Rattus norvegicus: one gene and its partners. The protein of the gene in region 2 purifies or fractionates together with the protein of the main gene of each other region. This does not show direct contact. Links are inferred from orthologs where the notes say so. Each region holds a gene or a part of one and is shown on either strand. Other genes may lie near its edges. The genes, in order: Dnmt1, Ehmt2, Mier1, Zfp644 and Ctbp1.

What was found.
Region 1: the proteins of Ehmt2 (region 2) and Dnmt1 purify together in Homo sapiens (affinity purification with western blotting; 3 studies listed by BioGRID, with this or other methods). This does not show direct contact. The link is inferred for Rattus norvegicus from reciprocal best matches to the Homo sapiens genes EHMT2 and DNMT1.
Region 3: the proteins of Ehmt2 (region 2) and Mier1 purify together in Homo sapiens (co-immunoprecipitation; 3 studies listed by BioGRID and IntAct, with this or other methods). This does not show direct contact. The link is inferred for Rattus norvegicus from reciprocal best matches to the Homo sapiens genes EHMT2 and MIER1.
Region 4: the proteins of Ehmt2 (region 2) and Zfp644 purify together in Homo sapiens (affinity purification with mass spectrometry; 3 studies listed by BioGRID and IntAct, with this or other methods). This does not show direct contact. The link is inferred for Rattus norvegicus from reciprocal best matches to the Homo sapiens genes EHMT2 and ZNF644.
Region 5: the proteins of Ehmt2 (region 2) and Ctbp1 purify together in Homo sapiens (affinity purification with mass spectrometry; 4 studies listed by BioGRID and IntAct, counting the BioPlex papers as one, with this or other methods). This does not show direct contact. The link is inferred for Rattus norvegicus from reciprocal best matches to the Homo sapiens genes EHMT2 and CTBP1.

Annotation. Positions count from the first base shown.
Region 1 is NC_086026.1:27,728,336-27,731,850, forward strand, and holds part of Dnmt1 (DNA (cytosine-5)-methyltransferase 1), read right to left. Parts: coding exon 3,426-3,515; intron 3,327-3,425; coding exon 3,146-3,326; intron 1,368-3,145; coding exon 1,270-1,367; intron 1,132-1,269; coding exon 984-1,131; intron 413-983; coding exon 297-412; intron 185-296; coding exon 1-184. UniProt on the Homo sapiens protein: Methylates CpG residues. Preferentially methylates hemimethylated DNA. Associates with DNA replication sites in S phase maintaining the methylation pattern in the newly synthesized strand, that is essential for epigenetic inheritance.
Region 2 is NC_086038.1:3,927,224-3,930,712, reverse strand, and holds part of Ehmt2 (histone-lysine N-methyltransferase EHMT2), read left to right. Parts: intron 1-160; coding exon 161-265; intron 266-361; coding exon 362-516; intron 517-612; coding exon 613-780; intron 781-3,162; coding exon 3,163-3,307; intron 3,308-3,489. UniProt on the Homo sapiens protein: Histone methyltransferase that specifically mono- and dimethylates 'Lys-9' of histone H3 (H3K9me1 and H3K9me2, respectively) in euchromatin.
Region 3 is NC_086023.1:123,153,600-123,157,114, forward strand, and holds the end of Mier1 (mesoderm induction early response protein 1), read left to right. Parts: coding exon 1-134; 3' UTR 135-3,054; downstream 3,055-3,515. UniProt on the Homo sapiens protein: Transcriptional repressor regulating the expression of a number of genes including SP1 target genes. Probably functions through recruitment of HDAC1 a histone deacetylase involved in chromatin silencing.
Region 4 is NC_086032.1:3,248,677-3,252,991, forward strand, and holds the start of Zfp644 (zinc finger protein 644), read left to right. Parts: upstream 1-1,507; 5' UTR 1,508-1,702; coding exon of another isoform or gene 1,703-1,800; exon of another isoform or gene 1,801-2,894; intron 2,895-4,315.
Region 5 is NC_086032.1:81,693,590-81,697,104, forward strand, and holds part of Ctbp1 (C-terminal-binding protein 1), read left to right. Parts: intron 1-1,461; coding exon 1,462-1,668; intron 1,669-3,515. UniProt on the Homo sapiens protein: Corepressor targeting diverse transcription regulators such as GLIS2 or BCL6. Has dehydrogenase activity. Involved in controlling the equilibrium between tubular and stacked structures in the Golgi complex.

The DNA of each region.
Region 1 (3,515 bases), on a different chromosome or scaffold from region 2:
GGAAGGCCCTCTGTAGATGACCTTGACCTTGCTGTGGATGTAGGAAAGTTGCATGTTTTCACACTCGCCTACAAGGAACAGCTCCAGAGGGTCAGAGGTGGCTCCGAGGACCGTGTCTGTCCCCGCGCAGAACCAGTGTGCATGGAACATCTGCCCGTTCTTGTCTTCCCACAGTGCTGTGACCCTGTAGCATAAGACGAGACAGGGAACAGACATCTCACGTAACCAGCACAACTTGGGTCTCATTCCGACACAGCTGGACATGAGGTGTTCAAGAGGAAGGTGGGCGCACACACCTGGCTAGATACAGTGGTTTGGAGGGATCATCCGGAATGACCGAGACGCAGTCGCCCACCTCCAGAGTCTCTTCGTCGATGCTCACCTTCCAATAGTAAGTTCTGTTCTCTTCGATCTGAAAGCAAGCAATGGAGCTCAGGTGACGGCCACATCCGATGGTCTCACTGGATTTAACCTGGGTGGCAGCTAACTTCCTATGAAAATCGCTTGGGACTAAGTATGTGGGTCAGCAGTGCAAATCTTACTTAACAGATACAGACTCTGGGTGCCATCCCTAGCAACCCTTAAAAAAAAACAAAAACAAAAAAAACTCCCACAAACATGACTTTTGATCTATTAAGTCATGAAGGATGGGATGGCTCAGTGGGTAAAGCTTGGCTCCAAGACAGATGACCCAAGGTTGATATCTGGGATGGAAGATGGAGAACAGTGACTTATGCAATCTGTGCTGACACACTTGTGCTGCAGCATCCTCAAGTAAATGTAATAATGATGCCAGGTGTAACACACGCAGCTCAGGGTTTACCATGAGGAATGAGGTACAGCTCAGGTACAGAGCTCTAGCCCAGCATGCCTGGGGCCCTGTGCTTCCCTCCCAGCGTCAGGAACAAGGGAGGGGAAGGGGACAGCAGCCGCCAGGCTCCTGGCTGCAGGGCACACCGGTATACAAGAGGAAGGAGTCACACCTTCACAGGCTCCCCGAGCCAGGAGATGCGATCCTTATTCTGTTTCTTCTTCTTCCCTTGGTGCAACTTTTTGGGTGACGGCAACTCTGGTATATCATCATCAGCTTCTTCGTCTTCATCTGCCTCCTTTACGGCCAAGTTAGGACACCTGCAGAACACACACTGCAGTCAACCCAGCGAAAAGCCAAGTCAGCTCCATACCACGTCCCTGCAGGACGCTACATGGCACACTTGCCTTAGCCACCCTGGCCCCTCTGTTATCTGAGCAGAGCATAGCACAGCCTACCTCCTCTTGAGGCAAGCCTGTTTACTCCGTCCGGTGCCACCAAACTTAACCATGTCTTTGCACGCCTTGCACTTCCCACACTCAGGCTGTTGACAGACCTGAAAATACCAAGAGTCGACCAATCAGCAGATTCTCAACTGGCAGCTTTCATTTTGTTTGGCTTTATTTGTTTTTGTTTTTGAGAAGAGTTCTTTACACAAAGCTCTGGCTGTCCTGGAACTCACTACGTAGACCAGGCTGGCCTTGAACTCAGATACTCCTGCTTCTGCAGCCGAATGCTTGAATTAAAGGTTTGTGCTACTATATCCAGGCCCAGGAACGTTTACTTATAACTTTCAAAGATATGCATGTTCAGGGCCAGTGGGGAAAGGCACTTGGTGCCGAGCCTTACAACCCAAGTTCAATACCCAAGACCCACAGAAAGGTGGGAAACCAACTCCGGGGTTTCTTCTGACCTTCATATGCACACTGTGGCCCCATGGAGACACTCTAATAAAAAATTATAATAAATAAATAATATATAATAAAAAAGTGTGAAACATACTGCATTTGTGCTGAACAGCTTTTTTTTTCCTTTTTTTTTTTTTTTTTTTTTCGGAGCTGGGGACCGAACCCAGGGCCTTGTGCTTGCTAGGCAAGCGCTCTACCACTGAGCTAAATCCCCAACCCCGCTGAACAGCTTCTTACCCTCCCCCCTGAGTGATACAGCATGGCAGCCACATGTGGCCTGAATCTGTGTCAGGTATCAAGTCAGCCAGCTGTTCACATACACATATGGCCTGAACCAGTACCAGTCAGTGGGGACAACCCCTAACAGACCGAGAGAACAAGGTAAACAAGGTAACCAAACAGGGCCACCAAGCACCCAGCTCCATTTAAACCACCACTGCCACCACAAAAACAAAAACAAAACAAAACAAAAAAGCTTTAAACAAATAATCAGATACAAGGACATTGAGAAAAGTCAAGGAATGGCAAGGACAGGGCATCATGAGAGAAAAGAACTTGCTACTGTGGGGTGTGGAATCCATCCAGGCTCCGTTGTACCCAGGGAAAGTCAGGACAGTACATTGTAAAAGATGACTTTCTCTGAAGAAAAAACCCCAGCAGCCCCCTGGATGCTAAGAGCAGCACATGTAGGAAGGCGTCTCCTCTCCCATTCGAAGGCCCAGGATACCCAAGTCCCTGTACAGTCTGAGACAAGATGAGCTGTAAGCAGCTGTCAGAACATGCTGACATCAGAGGTGCATGGCAGTGCACACCTGAGTGCCCAGTGCACACAAGGTAGGTAACACCAGCAGTTTCAGGTCAGCCTTGTACACATAGGTGCCTCAGAACATATGTGCATGTCTTAGGCTATGGTTCGGGATAAATTCATTCTCTAATTTTTCAAACATGACAGCCCAGGCTGACCTCAAACTCACTAGAACACTGAGAATGACCTTGAAATCCCGATCCTCCTGTCTCCACTTCTGAAGTGCCAGGATCACAGGCCTGTGCCTCCAGGTGTAGCTTAACCACATCTGAAGTTTGGGTTTGCTTGTTTAGTGTGATGTAGGTGGATTCCAGGCTACGTCTACAAAAAGGATTCACAATTCACAAGAGCCAGGCATGGTGGCACAGGTCTGGAAACCCAGCTCTTAGAAGTCACAGTGAGGCTTCCGTAGCCACAAGTCTAAGCTGAGAGAAAAGTGCTCATTCGGTTCTTCTCAGGGAACCCAGCTTCTGTAGTCACAGCGTCATCCAGACCAAAAGCCCCAGACACCGACTTCAACCCTCCCTCCATCTGCCTGTCTGGCCCTCAAGGCAGGCAGCTACCCCAGGGCATGAGCTGCTCTTCTTCACATCTAAGAGCAGCCAAGGACGGCCCACTCACCTCACAGACACCACACCGGCGGCGCTTCATGGTGTTCTCTTTGTCCTCCTTGTCATCCTTCTCGATCTGCTCCGAGAAGAAAGTGTCGAAGATCTGATAGACCAGCTTGGTGGTGGTGGCTTTTGTGGGCCCCTTGCGCTTCACTTTGGCAGAATTGATGACCGTGCGCCTTGTTGCTCGCCTGAGGGAGAGGACCACCATTTCAGGGACCCAGGCGCAGGGGACTGCCTCCTCTGGTCTCAAGCTCAAGCCTCCCACCCGAGTCTTGATACATCCTTACCTCTGTCCCAGCGAGACACCAGCCAAATGGATCAGGGACCTCATACAGGGAGACAAGAAGATGGGCGTCTCATCATCGTCCTTAGCGTCG
Region 2 (3,489 bases):
AGCTCATCCAGCGAGGACCCCGCTGAGCCTGGGTGGGGAGGGTGTGCATCTGTGGAATGCCCCATGCTCTGGCTTTGGCTGTTCCCAGAGGTGCCCCTCAGCTTCCGTTTTCTGGCCAGCAAGTCTGGGCCCTGATTCCATTCCTCCTTCCGTCCCTCAGGACAGTGGGGGCTGGACACCCATCATCTGGGCAGCCGAGCACAAGCACATCGACGTGATCCGTATGCTGCTGACCCGGGGCGCCGACGTCACCCTTACCGACAACGTGAGGGGCACTCAAGGGAGCTGGGGGGACTGGTGGGGAGCAGGGGGACCCCGATCCTGTCACCTGCAACCCGATCTCTGCCCCTCACCTCCACAGGAGGAAAACATCTGCCTGCACTGGGCTTCCTTCACGGGTAGTGCCGCTATTGCCGAGGTCCTCCTGAATGCCCAGTGCGACCTCCATGCTGTCAACTACCACGGGGACACGCCCCTGCACATAGCCGCCAGGGAGAGCTACCATGACTGCGTTCTGTAAGCCCCAGCTTCCGGACCCACCTCCCCACACCCCACTCCCGGCACCCACACCCCACTGTCCAGTCTCTGACTCAGGTTTTCTATCCCTCTCAGGTTGTTCCTGTCCCGTGGAGCCAACCCTGAGCTTCGGAACAAAGAAGGGGACACGGCGTGGGATCTGACCCCAGAGCGCTCCGATGTGTGGTTTGCACTGCAGCTCAATCGCAAGCTTAGGCTCGGGGTAGGGAACCGGGCTGTCCGCACCGAGAAGATCATCTGCCGGTGAGTGCAGCCCAGATGCCACAGCTCCTCCACGTCTTCAGTCTCAGGCCCCTTGCCAGACGCAGGACGTCCCAGTAGCTCCTACAATCATCTTGCCTCTAAGGGAGGTGGAAATAAGGGGCCCTCAGTGGGCAAGGGAACCTGCAACCAAGCCTGACAAACTGAGTGCAGTCCCTGGAGAGCCATGTTTTTCTCTGGCTTACGAACACACAGCATGGCACAGTCGCACACCTGAAAAAAGCTAAAGGCAGGGTGTGGTGGCCACCCCTGTAATCTCAGCACGCAGGAGGCAGACGGTTGGTTGTTTTGAACCTGAGGCCAGCTTGGTTTGTATGTATTAGTGAGTTCCAGGCCAAGGAGGGCCACATGGTGAGACCTTATCTTTCTTAAAATAAATGAAAAATAAATAAATATGTAAGAAAAATAAAGAAAAGGACATGTTTTCCAAGCCTTAGAGGTAGCTGAGGCAGGAGGATTGTGAGTTTGAGGCAGATACCCAAATAAGAGTTTCAGACAGGCTGGAGAGATGGCTCAGAGGCTAAGAACACTGACTGCTCTTCCAGAGGTCCTGAGTTCAATTCCCAGCAACCACATGGTGACTCACAGCCATCTGAAAGGGGATCTTCCGCCCTCTTCTGGCCTGCAGGTGTACATGCAGATAGAGCGCTCATAAACATAAGATAAATAAAGCTTTTTAAAAAAAAAAAAAAAAAGAATTTCAGACAGGAGCTGGGTGTCACCTGTGACCCCCTCCTATTCTGAAGGCTGGAGGAAGACCTGCCTCTTGAGCCCACGGGTTGGAGATCAGTATTTGTTATTATTGAGACTCAGACCTTAAAAAGGAAAATCAAACCAAACCAAAAAACCCCGCAAGGCTAGTGTGAGGCAACCCAACTACTGAATGTGCATTCTGAGTTCAAGCCAAGAACCCACCAGGAGAGAGCTGCCTCCTGAAGGTTGCCCTCTGACCTTAATTCCACACTGTATCCTGTGTGAGCGCGAAAGGTCCTCAAGCCAGGCGTGGTGGTTTAGACCTTTAATCCACTACTCTGGAGGGAGGCGAAGGCAGATCTCTGGGCTCTAGGGCTACACAGTGAGATGCTGTCTCAAGAAGGGAGCGGTTGGAGGCCACCAGGAATGTTCACTGTCTTTGAGGAGAGGTTTTTTTTTTTTTTTTTTTTTTTAAGACAGGGTTTCTCTGTGTAGCCCCGGCTGTCCTGGAAGTCACTCTGTAGACCAGGCTGGCCTTGAACTCACAGAGATCCCTGTGCCTCTGCCTCCCTAGTGCTGGGATTAAAAGGAGTGCATCACTCTGCCAGAAAGGACTGTGACCTCTAATGTTAGCACTGGGGAGGAGTAGCAGATGGATCTGAGTTCTAGGATAGCCAGAGCTACAGAATGAGAGTGTCTCAAAGAAAGGAAGGAAGAGGCAACACGTTAAAAAGTTAAAAAAGGGGGTCGGGGATTTAGCTCAGTGGTAGAGCACTTGCCTAGCAAGGGCAAGGCCCTGGGTTCGGTCCTCAGCTCCGGGGGGGGGGGGGGGGGGTAAAAAAGGGATCTGGAGAGATGGCTCAGCGGTTAAGAGCACTGGCTGCTCTTCCAGAGGTCCTGAGTTCAATTCCCAGCACCCACAGGGTGGCTCACAGCCATCTGTAACTTCAGATCCATGACCCAGAGGATCCATGCCTCCTTCTGACCTCTGCGGGCAGCAGGCGTGCATGTGGGGTGCATACAGAAGTGCAGGCAAAGTATTCTTAACACGTAAAATGAGAAAATGTTTTTTCAGGTGAGCAGGAATACTAGTGCGTCCTGTGCTAGCTGGGTGCTTGCAGTCTGTGTCAGTGCTACACTAAGGAAGCGGGAAGGCCATGGTCTCACTTTTAAGGCCAGCCAAGCGAGGCATTATACCAAGGCTCAGCCTCCAACTAAAATTTAAAAGTCCAGAGTCCAGCAGGGTGATGACATATACCTCTAATCCTAGCCACTTGGGAGCTAGGGCAGGAGAGTCAAGAGTCCAAGTCATTCTTGGCTATCTCGCTATTTGGGGCCAGCAGGCTATATGATGCTGTATCTCACAGAGGAATATAAGGGGCCGGGGCCGGGGCCGGGGCTGGAGTAGAGTGTTTATTGGCCTCACATGCACAATGTTGTTGGGCCTCACCAAGAAACAAAGATAACCTGTGCGATGTTGAGGACATAATTATTTCTAAGCTGAGATTGTTTCCCTGGTGTCTTAACTTCCCTTTTTTTGTTTTCAAGAATGTCTCACCGCATGCACTGGGATTAAAGGTGCCACCACCCCAGCACCCTTATACGGAGGAATCCTTGAGCTTCCCCTCAGGAATGCTCCGGCCCCTACCTAACTTTACTGCCCTTCTGTAGGGATGTAGCCCGAGGCTATGAGAATGTGCCCATTCCCTGTGTCAATGGCGTGGATGGGGAGCCATGCCCAGAGGACTATAAGTACATCTCCGAGAACTGTGAAACGTCCACCATGAACATCGACCGAAACATCACTCACCTGCAGGTGAGACACAGGCCCCACCGGGCTCGAGGGAGCAGGGGCTGAAGGAGCCTGATGTGGGAGTCCCTCCACACTGGGGCACATGAAGACTCCCCCTCTCGCTGGGACCGTCACCAGCCAGCGTCCTGAAACGAACCCATGCTCCAGGGGAGAGCCCTCTCACTCACACCACTCCTTCCCGCCCA
Region 3 (3,515 bases), on a different chromosome or scaffold from region 2:
ATGAAAAAAATGAGAGACCTGCCAAAAGGCGGCGGATAAACAGCAGTGGGAAAGAAAGTCCGGGTTCGTCTGAGTTTTTCCAGGAAGCAGTCTCACATGGGAAGTTTGAGGAACATGAAAACACAAATGACTAACTCTTAGGCCTATTTTACTTTCTTTGCAGTAAAGTCTGGTTTGACTACAATTTTCAGGGTTGGGGGGGTGACCTTTAGAAAGCTGATTTCCTTGAAGCAGTTGTTAACTCTTGAAATTGGAATTAGGTCCTAACTTTAAGAAATGGGATTCATAATTCTACTTTTTGCAAGTTCTTTTACTTCAAATTTTGAAGCCCTCTTTAAGGATATAAAAACATTGGTAAATTTGAATGACCCAAAGACTTAACTGCACCTTCTCCTTTGAGAAACAAGTCATATTTGACTAAAAGGTAATCTTTCCTTATTCTTTATGAGGAAGAAAAAAGTTTGTTTCTGTTCAACACCAATTTTTTTTATTATCTAGAAATGTCTTTACAACAGACATTTTTCTCTCCATACAAATTGAACATCGTCATTAAGGAAACCCTCATGAATCCTGAAGGTTATGCTAGCATGATTTTTATATGTAGAAGTTTAAAAATAAACCAAGTCAGGTTTGTATTTGTAAAATTGTTGACATCAATGATGTCTTTCCATATTCTTATCTGGGCTTAAGAAATACATTCTGTATTTTTCCAGATTCTTTGTAGCCTTTGAAAGATTTTTACAGTACATATGTCTTGACTGAGCTGTCCTTTCTTAATACAAAAAAAGCTTGTATAATTTTCTTAACTTGTACAGTTGGTAAACTTTTATGAGAGGAACTGATATTCTGAGTCTGTCAGCTTTCATTTTATTTTGCTAAGATTTTTCTAATGAATTTTTAAGTGTGTGTGTAGTTAACCAAGTCATGTTTCTTATCCAGGTGGTAAAAGCATTCATAAAGAATTATGTTATTTTCAAACTTCTACTTACTGACATAATTTGGGACTTCTAAATTTCAGCATGATACTCAGATTACAAGCTTGTTTGCATTTGCTATAATTTTATAAATTAATTGTGAAACAAAACAAAGACTTACTGTCAGCTTAAGTGTGTAGATGTATCGTGCTGAATAGAATCCTGTTCAGTTACTCTCATGTGCCCTACAAGATTTCTCATTGTTTCAGTCAACAGAAAGGGAAGGTCACGTGATGTTGCAATATTGCCACATCCAAGGAGTAACTGTTGACAGGTAGCAATATTCATTTTTATGAGAAAATAGTGGTTTTAAGAATTTTCAGATCTTTCCAGTTGTAATCCAGTTTGTCACATTTGATACTTTTTCCAAAATGAAACACATACAAAATAACCATTGTTCTGTGTGACTTTAAAAAGGGTTATTGCACTAGCCTTGTAAGAATGGATGCCATTTTATTGTTAGTGCAAAATTCTTCTTACAAAATGTAGTTTTATACAGCTGATAGACCAATCTATCTCTGGACTGTTTTTTAGTGAATGATGATTAACTACCTTTTCTCACACAGGCACATCCCCAAATGCTGCCTTCAGTTTGATCTCAGCCGTCAGTTCAAGAGCCACTGCTTTCAAAGACAGATCTGTGTCCTTTTAGTGGCTCAGTTGTCTGATGCAGGGTGGGTTAAGGTTTGCACTGAGAATGATCGCCCAGGCCTCTCCCTCATAGTATTCTTACATTTGTCCAGACTGCTTCCCTTCACAATGGGTACAAACTTTTCTTTCCCCAAATCAGTATTAGAAGCCACCTTGACAGCACATCATAATAATACGCATTTACTGTTTTCTGCAGAAATAGTCCAGTGAGTTGCCTTCAGGTGGAAGTGCTGAGAAGCACGAGAGGGTTTAGTTTGTTTTATTGAAAACATTAATTTATCCAGAATGGCAGTAGGTCAAGTACCTTTAGCAGATGGTCATAGCTTGTCTCCCTGCCCACCCCCACAGAGTCTCACTGTGTAGCCCAGGCTGGCCTGGAACTTAACAACCCTTCTACCTCAGCCCGCTAATGCTGAGATTGGAGGTGTTTCCCACCACACCCAGCAACAGTCTATTTTCTAAAGCAGGTTTTATTATATGAGTCCAGGCCATCCCAGCTCCTTGTCACAGGTGATCTTTAAGTGATGCTATGCTTTTTAATCATTACACTATGGAAGATGTCAGTCCGCCTTTTAAAGGATGCCTCTGCTCGACACGTTCTTGGACTTCTCGAAACTGTTGTAACAGGAACGTTTTAAGGAAATTCTCAGGCATGTTGGCAAATGTGCCAGGTGTATAAGTGTTCATAAATCTTTTCTTTTTAAAGTATGCATAATGAAACATTCCTCTAATACACAAGGCTCAGCTTTTCCCAACTATATTCTGTGTTTGTATAGGTATTTCACCCTTTGTTCAAAAAATGCAGCCACTGAAACTTAAGTCATTGCACTTTTAAACAGTTTGACAATATCATGAGTAATCTGCTTAAGATTTGGTGTATTTCCTAACTGTTGAACACTTAAGTAACTGAGATGAGAAAATAAGCATTCATGAGTAGGGATGTAGCTCAGTTGCTGGAATGCTTACCCAACATGCATGCAAAATGGGTTCCATCCCCAGTACCACAGGAACTGGGTATAGTGGTGCATGCCTGTCATCCTAAGCACTTGGGAGGTGGAGGCAGGAGAATCAGAAGTTCAAGGCCATCCTCATTACCTGGTGAGTTGAGGCCAGCCTGATATGCTGACTCAGATAGAAATGGCTCTGTTGGTAGTTATTAGGTCCTAGCCAAGCACTGTCATTTTCATCTGGAACATACAATGATGATGTATTTATGATGTATTCTCACTAAGGTTCACAATCTGTAACTCAGTTCAACACAGATCTCTTGAGCTTTAAAAGGTATTTGAAGTAATTTAAGTAGGCATTCAAAATTATGAATTAGATGTTTTTAAATTTCTGCATAATAATTTTGCACTGTAAAATATGTCCTTTCTCCCATTTCCTTCTGCCATTCTGATATGCTCATTAAAATATTTTTGTAAGCATACTCATGTGATGTGTGTGATGTCTAGTTGTTCACTGTGTTTTAGTCTCAGTGCTTAAACTCCATGCTGCTCGGAGCACACAGTGCAGGCTGTACTCTCCCTGTGCCTCCATGCCCGTGGACCGCGCAATGAAGTTTTGTCAGTGGTTCCTGGTTTAGTTACCCAACATTGGATTGTTTTCTGTCTGTCTTTTCTTAAACTTTTTAATAGACAGGGAGGTTTGGGTTGGGGGTTTTTGTTTTGTTCATTTGGACTCTCTGTTAATGTAGCTCTGACTGAACTGGAGCTCACTACATAGACCAGGCTGGCCACAAACTCAAGAGATCTGTCTATGCCTCCCAAATGGTGGGATTAAAGGTGTGCATCTGGTACACCTAGACATGTAGTCCAACTGGCTTTGATCTTCTGTTTTAAGTGATAGAGTTAAAGTGTATACCACCATATCTCTGAACTATATAATTAA
Region 4 (4,315 bases), on a different chromosome or scaffold from region 2:
GGCTCATTTGGACTCCACTGTACCAGGCATGAAGCACGTGGTGCCCAGCCACACGTTCAAGCAAAACCCATATTCATGAGATAAAAATAAAGTCTCTATGGTACATCCCTCCCAAGCAGTTGGCCGAAAATAGACACGAGTTTATATGTTGTGTATCTATTCGTGTGTATGAAGGCAAGCTTACATTTCGAAACAGCCCAACAGTTGTGCGGTTGTGAGAAAACAGTCTAATCTCTCTTCGCCACTTTAGGTCGTAATGAACTTGCACACACAGGCTACAAGAATGCCTGATGGATGCACAGACAGCAAGCACTCCAGTGTCCGCAGTTATCAGCGAGTGAAATAATTAGAGTGGATAGTAAAATATCCGGTTTTTGGATCTTTTTTTTGCTGCTGCCGAAGGCACCATTTTCCAGGAAAGACACCCTCGTTCTTGTCAAATAAATGCAATTATGGCTTATCCCTCTGGATGTTAATGATATCTTGAAGGGCACGGAGGTACGCAGTTCATGATTGTTGCTTAACTAGTGGGAACTTTTAAAGTTCTTCATGGGAAAAAAGTTCAGTCAAACCAAAGAATTTTGTAAGGCAGGCCCATTAGAGTATTCTAGAACGTTTAGTTCACCTTCAACAGGTTAGGAACTTGTTGACTCGGTTCAAAAGCAAAGCGAATACCTCTAATTAGTGCGCCATTTCCCTCAGAAGCCTATGGCTGAACGCTTGTTAAAAGGGGGATTTAGAAGACCCTCTGGGGAAATCTATTGATTACTTGAAGAGTTAACCAGCATTTCAGACGTCTCTTTGCATGACTCCAATTTGGACCATCAAGGCATGTTCCTCAGTGCAGAAACTGCCCTCGCAGAGCCCTCAGAACCCAAATCTAGGGCTTCTTTCTGGGTGTCTTGACTGAGAGTTTCTACACCTGATGCTGTTTAACCTCAGAAAACCTGTCTGTGCCAGTACGCCAAGGTAGGCCTGGTATATATGTTGCTGATTCTTTCAACAGTAGGAAAAGAAACGGGATTTTGGCAAACTAGCGATTGCAGACACCAGAGATGGGCCTATTCCACCTTAAAGGGCCTAGGCATTCCTGGTACTTGGGTCTTGCAGAGTTTGGTTGCCACCATATTTGGAGCGTGCCTACTTTGGGGCGGGAACCTCCTCGGGAGTGGTTAGGTCACCGCTGGGGGAGGTGACCTTGTTTGGTTTTGGCACGGGAGAGCAGCGGTGCGCTGTTTCTGCCGCGCCCCCCGTGGGTCTGATTGGCACGGGAGCTCCGGCTGCCCCAGCGCACGGGCGCGCCTCGCTGGCCTCCCACGGCGGCCGGCGGCCAGGCAGAGGCGGGAAAGCCGCGCGCCTGCGCCGTGGGAACCGAGGCCGGAGGCGAGAAGCGGGGAGCGGAGGGGGCCGTTGGAGCCGAGTAGCGTACAGAGCGGCGTGTGACGCGGGGACGCCGCGCGCTCCCAACGTCGCCCCGGTTTGACGCACACGGCACCAAACTGTGAGTTTCGGGGGTCTTATTTTGGTTGGATTAGCCCGGGCCCCGGCTGCATTTCGGACGTCCGGGCTGAGGCGGTGGCGGGACTGAGGGTGGCGGAAGAAGTTGTGGGGGAACCCGGCCCGCGGCGCTCGGGCCCGGGGAGCTACGCCCTAGGCTGGCTCCCAACCCTCCGAAAGGACGCGTTTTGCCGCACAGGCTAAGATGGCGGCGGTTGCCGAGGAGGCGGAGTTGCTGCTGCAGAAGAAGCCCGGGTCGCGGGGTCCGGGAGGCGGCGGTCGCGGGGGGCCGCGGAACCTTAGGTGAGCGGCGGCGGCCGCCGCGGGGCGGGACTCGGTGGCGGGCGGGGGGGCCTTTCCGCTCCGGCGGCGGAGGATCCGGTGGCGGACACAAAGGGGCCGAGCCGGGCTCTGGACTTGGGGGGTTTTGTTTAGTCACATGTAGCGGAGCAGCCAGTGAGCGGTAGGGGGAAGGGAGCCGCGATCTGGAGGTCCTGGGGAGCCTTGCGGTCGCCATTGTAACGCTCCGAGTAACGGGGCGGCCCGACAGCAGTCAGCCGGCGCCCGGTGTGCGGCTGCTCCGTCCTGGCCTGCAGCCCCGACTCTGGGGCTAACTGTCCACACCCCTCCCCTGACTTTGGGACCAGAGCACATAGCTTTCCCCTTCTTCCCACTGGTCTGCAACATCTTGTGCCGCTAAGTGCCTGGGAAGTAACTCCAAGAGGTACAAAAAGGAAAAAAAAAAAAAAAGGAAAAAAAAAAAGGAAAAAAATCACGCGAAGTGTTTGGGTGGCCAAGGGGCTTGGTGGGTATCTAGCTAAAGCTTTTTGCCTCTCCAGGTCTGATTCCCTGGCCTTTGTGTCCCTGGGAGCTTAATCTCTGCCAGAGGAAAGCAGGTGTGCTCCATCCACTCCTCCCGAGAACATGAAGATGAGTTGCCCCAGACCCTTCCCCGTGATTGGAAACTTAGGTGGTTTCTTGTTTCGAGACTTCCACAGACGACTCTCGTGTTGGGATCCATCCATGGTTTAGCGACATTAGTGGAAAAGTTTTCTTCAACTGTTTAATACTGACTTAAATGTAGTTATAAAACTTTCATATTAGATTTCAAATATTATGTGATTAAACTCAACGAGGGGATACCCACGGCTTGTGGCCCTGAAATGATGATGGTCCTGTTCTGTGCACAAGTTAATTTCCACAGAAGTACCCCAAACACTATCATCTGTTGGGGCCAGCCCCAACTGATGCCAAGTTTACTGCATCTGGGACATGTGCTTGGATTTGCCTTAATCGTGTTGTAGTTTAGTTAATTTTGGCCCCACGAAGGAAAGTATTTCAGAACTCAAGCAACTATAAAGTTACCCAGATCGAGAAAACGTGCTTCAGGGCCATGTGTAAGTATCCAGGGAACTAGGTGTCAGCAATACAGCTGTGCCTTATCTCGGGTAGGTTTGGTAAGAGAGAAAGGTAGATTCTACAGTGAAGTTATAACTCAGTGTAGACTTTTAGATTGGTGAAACCTGAGTGCTTGACTGGTTCTAACGAAGTGGTTTGCATGTTGCTGTTGAATACTTTAATACTGTATTTGCATCATGTGTTGTATTGGAAGTAACTAATACTGGTGTGAATTCCAAAGGAGTTGGTCCTTGCGTGTGCCATCAATATAAGTACGTGAAGGAATAGTAAAATACCTTTAGGTCTTTGAAATTTTTAACATTAAAACTTTAGCTTACTTGTTTCTTTCCTGGGATGCATTTTCCCTTTCTTAGCTTCCTTTCAAACAGAGAACAGTGTTGTATTAGCAGGCAGGAGCTACGCTCACAGTCAGGTGTGTTCCCTGGATCATACAGTTTTACAGAAGACCGTTGAAAGAGCTACTGTTCCTAGGCCTTGCCTTAGCCACGTATTAAGTTGGTGATGTGGTGGGACACGGTCGCTAGCTCCTGCCCTTGTCATAGTTTTGTTAGCACCTGGTAATGGGACATTACTGATGATCCCCGTTAATTAAAGCGTCTTCAGTGAGACTTTCTGAGACAAAACAGTTAATGTTATGTAATTTTGTAGTAGTGTTGCTTATGTATGGATTTTTGAGAACTTTCCAACCCTGACATGACCCAGAAAAGCAAAAATTAAAAACAAAAACCGTGCTTGACAACTAATGTGGGGAGTTGGAGATAACCGCTGTTACTGCTAGAGAAGGCCAAGGGATGTAATCGGTGTTAGGAGCCATGCTGGTGTCTCTCACTCTGTAATGTCGTTTTGACGCCTCTCAGGCTCTTTAAGTGACTTTTAAGACCAGCTGCTGCTAGTACAAGTCTTAGGAAATGCAACAAGTGGTGAGATCAGGCACAGTGGAGTGCACAGTGCTGCTTGTTGTGAGGCTTGTGTGGGTCATTTAAAGTGCTTTTAATTTACTGTCTCTTTTTCTAAGAGTTCAGTCGAAAGGCTAGTTCAGTTTCAACACTGAGTATATTTAATTACACTTAGTCTTGTGCTAATTAGGGTTACTTTGAGGTTATTTGTAATTATAAAGTCAGTGTCACCTGCATGCCTTAATTGCCTCCCAGGTTTTTCAGTTTGTTCAAGTTCTTGGAGAGTTTGGGTAGCAAGAAGAAAAGCTTGAGAGATACAAAATGGTGGAAGGTCTATCATGTCAAACACGTCGTTATTGTGTAGGATTAGCAGTCTGGACTCTTCTCACAAAGTGACTCTGGGAGGAAAAGGCGTGCTTGCTAAGTGCACCAGCCACACAGGAGAGACGTGGCGTGTTGTTGAGTTGTCCAGTCTGAGTCTGTAGAGTGCTCTGCGTGCCCAG
Region 5 (3,515 bases), on a different chromosome or scaffold from region 2:
CTGTGTTGTCACCAACTGGCCAGGCCTAGGGTTTAGGCTGAAACAAGGGACCAGTCAGAGAGGTCATTGTCCTCTTCCCAGAACAGGGACTATGTGCCATAGTCATACTTGTACACACATGAAGCCATGTGTGCTCAAATTGTACACATATGCATGACTCTGCATCTGTGTATGCAGTTTTACTGAAGCAGTATGGCCATACTTAGCCATTTTAGCCTGTTTCTGTGCTAGTGGCCAACTGACAAAGCAAGGCTGCAGTCTCCAGTGTCTGCTGTTGACATCATTCTGCCTTCTGTTCCTTAAGGCTGTCTGGGGAACCACGGGCAGCTGAGAACTTGAGTAGTGTGGTGGGAAAGTCCGTCTTGTTCTGTTGGTTCATGCTGGCCTGGCATGCCACAGGGGCCAGAAGCTGGCCGGCCTTTCCTCAGCAAGGCCCCACCATTTCCCTCTATAGAGCTCACAGGCTCGACTCTTGAGCTAGGGATGGCCAAGTGCCGCCACTGTGGCCCAGATACGGGAAGGGCTGTGTCTTGTTTGCCTTATGTCTTCTCAGGGGTCAGTTTTGTTTCTGAGCCTCCAGGCTACCTACTACTGCTCCATGTTCCCTTGCTTATTTCAAGGGAGTTGTTTCTAGAGGATGTGTGGGTCCTGTCTTGGCTCCTCTTGTGTCAGGTACCTCTAATTCTTAAGATAGTTTCTACAAAAACAGTCCTGTCCCAGCACCTCAGTGAGAAGCACAGGCAGAAGTATCCAGCCAAGGTGGGAAGTAGACTTGTGGCCACTGTAGAGGATGGGCTCATGGTGGGATGGTGGGATCCTCCTCTGAGGACAAGGACCATGGGCAGCCCAAGGCAGCACAGACTGTGTCAGCTTACAGTGCCTGAGCTTGGGCTCTTGGGATAATTGGGGCACTGAGGTTAGGAAAGAGAAGCCCCATCTGACTTGTTCCCAGGACAGTGGGCATTGCTGAGCTCTGAAGTCAGGGCATTCCTGGCCTTGGAAGCTCTGGGGATCTGGAAGTTGTGATTCATGTAGTATCAACAGGTGGGGGCCGGCCAGTCCCAAGATGCACCTTGGCACTGGCCCTTTGCCAGTATGGCCATGGCTGCTTAGGAATTTTGAGTGCCCAGTGATCCACGCGGGGAAGAAATGAGTACTGATGGGATTGGTCACCTGCACATCCAGACTATTCAGGCTAGGGATGGTCAGAGAAGCACTTAGCTGTCCCTGCTCTGTCTGTTTGCTTGTTGGTTGTCACATCTTTGTTGTACAAGGCTGTGACTCCAGGTTTAAGTATGCCCAATGATAGAGACAGGTAGTCCTATCTGGTGGCTGTGGGATGTGTCTTCTGATGTGTTTCTGCTGAAGCAGTACCCTGAGGTTGCGCTCTGACTGCAGCACCTCTGATTGTGATGACAGGAGGCTGTGGGCCTGGTACATGTGTCTCCATGTGTATTCTAGGCATCGCAGTGTGCAATGTACCAGCAGCATCTGTGGAAGAAACAGCAGACTCCACCCTGTGCCACATTCTGAACCTATACCGACGAACTACCTGGCTACACCAGGCACTTCGGGAAGGCACTCGGGTCCAGAGTGTAGAGCAGATCCGAGAGGTGGCTTCAGGAGCTGCCAGGATCCGTGGAGAGACCTTGGGCATCATTGGACTAGGTGCGTTGGCCACTGTGACTCAGCACAAATAGCCTTTGTCTGTCTGTCCCCCTTGCACTTCATAAAGTTGAGGCCCCGGACTTTCTGGTTGTGTTGCTATCCTCAGCTCAGGATAGGACATAGGATAGAAAGTCCAGGGGCAGGGCTGAAGACACTAGGCTATGTCTTTCACAGGTGCCATCCATGGAGGTCATTCATGCATGGGCACGTGTGTATATTATATGTGGATGAAACAGATAGGGTATACACATGGACACGCTTAGATATGTATACAGTTACATACACACGCTGTAACTGACATGTTATTACTGAAGCACCACCTTGAGGGTGTGCTCTGGCTATAGCACCTTTGACTGTTGGTGTCATGGGGCTGTGGGCCTGGTACATGTGTACCCCACAGCTCCAAAGACTTGAGTGGTATGACCTCAGGGCCTACTTCTGTCCTACTTAGGTGGTACTCAGTTCCCACTCTCTCACTGCTGTTTGCTTTTTGTTGGTCCCCATTTGTTATGTGTCCCATAGAAATGGCACAATAAGTTGTGCCAGAGTTTCACCATTGAGGGCTCCCTTGTCACCAGACAGCCTACCCTTGGCTGACCCTAGCTGCACTGTACTCCTTCCTCAGCACTGCTGCCGCTTCGGTAGATGGGAAATGTGTGTGGGTCACCTGAGCTACTGAAGAGATAGACTTGGTATGTAGTTGTTGTCCCAGTGGACACTCACGGCAGGGCTGTTTGGTATTCCATGGCACTGAATGTACCCTTCCTGTCCAGTGTATAGGATGAGTTAGTACCGCCTACCTCAGGGTTGTAGCCCTGAGACTCATTGAGGGTGAAGAAAGATAAACATGGGTAGAGTGAGGGTCAGGGGTGTCACTAGGCAGGTTTTGGTGGTCAAGTTCTTGCCCTCCAGTCTGCTTGGTCTTACTCTGTTAGTGGCTCAGCCATGTGTCCTTTTGGTACCCTGCCTTGCAATGATACTTGATACTTTGCCCAGTGTGCCACGTGGCTGCCACTGACTACCTTCTGGCCTACACTGCTGTCTTCTCTGCTGTGTCAAGCTGACCACTGTAGTCAAAGCTCCCCAGGTTTCAGGATCCATAGATGGTGACATGTATTCCATGTGAATGATGTAGATGACACAGACATGGTGATGCATGTGGACATACTTGTGTGTGAGTGTACAGTATATACAAGGGAGGATGGTAAATTGTGCCTCCTCAGAGCACAGCAAGGGCTCAGAAGGGAGTTGCTGTACCCTCTATCTTGGGGACCCCCTAGTCATGTAATTGCTACCAACTACAGAACAATTCTGAGGCTGGCTTCCATATACTGTGGCCTCGCTCTGGAAGGGAGATGACCACTTGCCCCCAGGTATCCCTGCTGCCTCCTGCTCTTCCTTTCTACGACCTGTGGAGGCTGACTTCAGTGTAGACTTTGGTGATTAATTCTTGTTCAGGAGAGAGGACACACAGGCAGTGTGGGGTGTACGTTTTGCTTCTGTAACATGGATGTGCCAGCTATTTCCCATGTCTGTTGGCCTTCACACCCAGTCTTCTGCCTTCCCCTTCCTTGTTCTCTATCAGATATTTGCGAAATCCTCTGTTATAACTGAAAGATACTCTGTTTCTTTCCTGGAGTATACATTGTATTTCTGCCTGAGACAGCCCTGTACCTTTTCCAGCTAATCCTCCCTTGCTGTAGTCTCTGTATGCCATCTGGTACAGCTTGCTAGGTTCATCAGCCCTACTGAAAGGGACAAGTTTCCTGAGTTTGTGTTCTTCCAACAGACATGAGGTTCTAGGTGTTGTCTACATGTCTGTCTTACTCAGAAGCTCTTACTGTTAA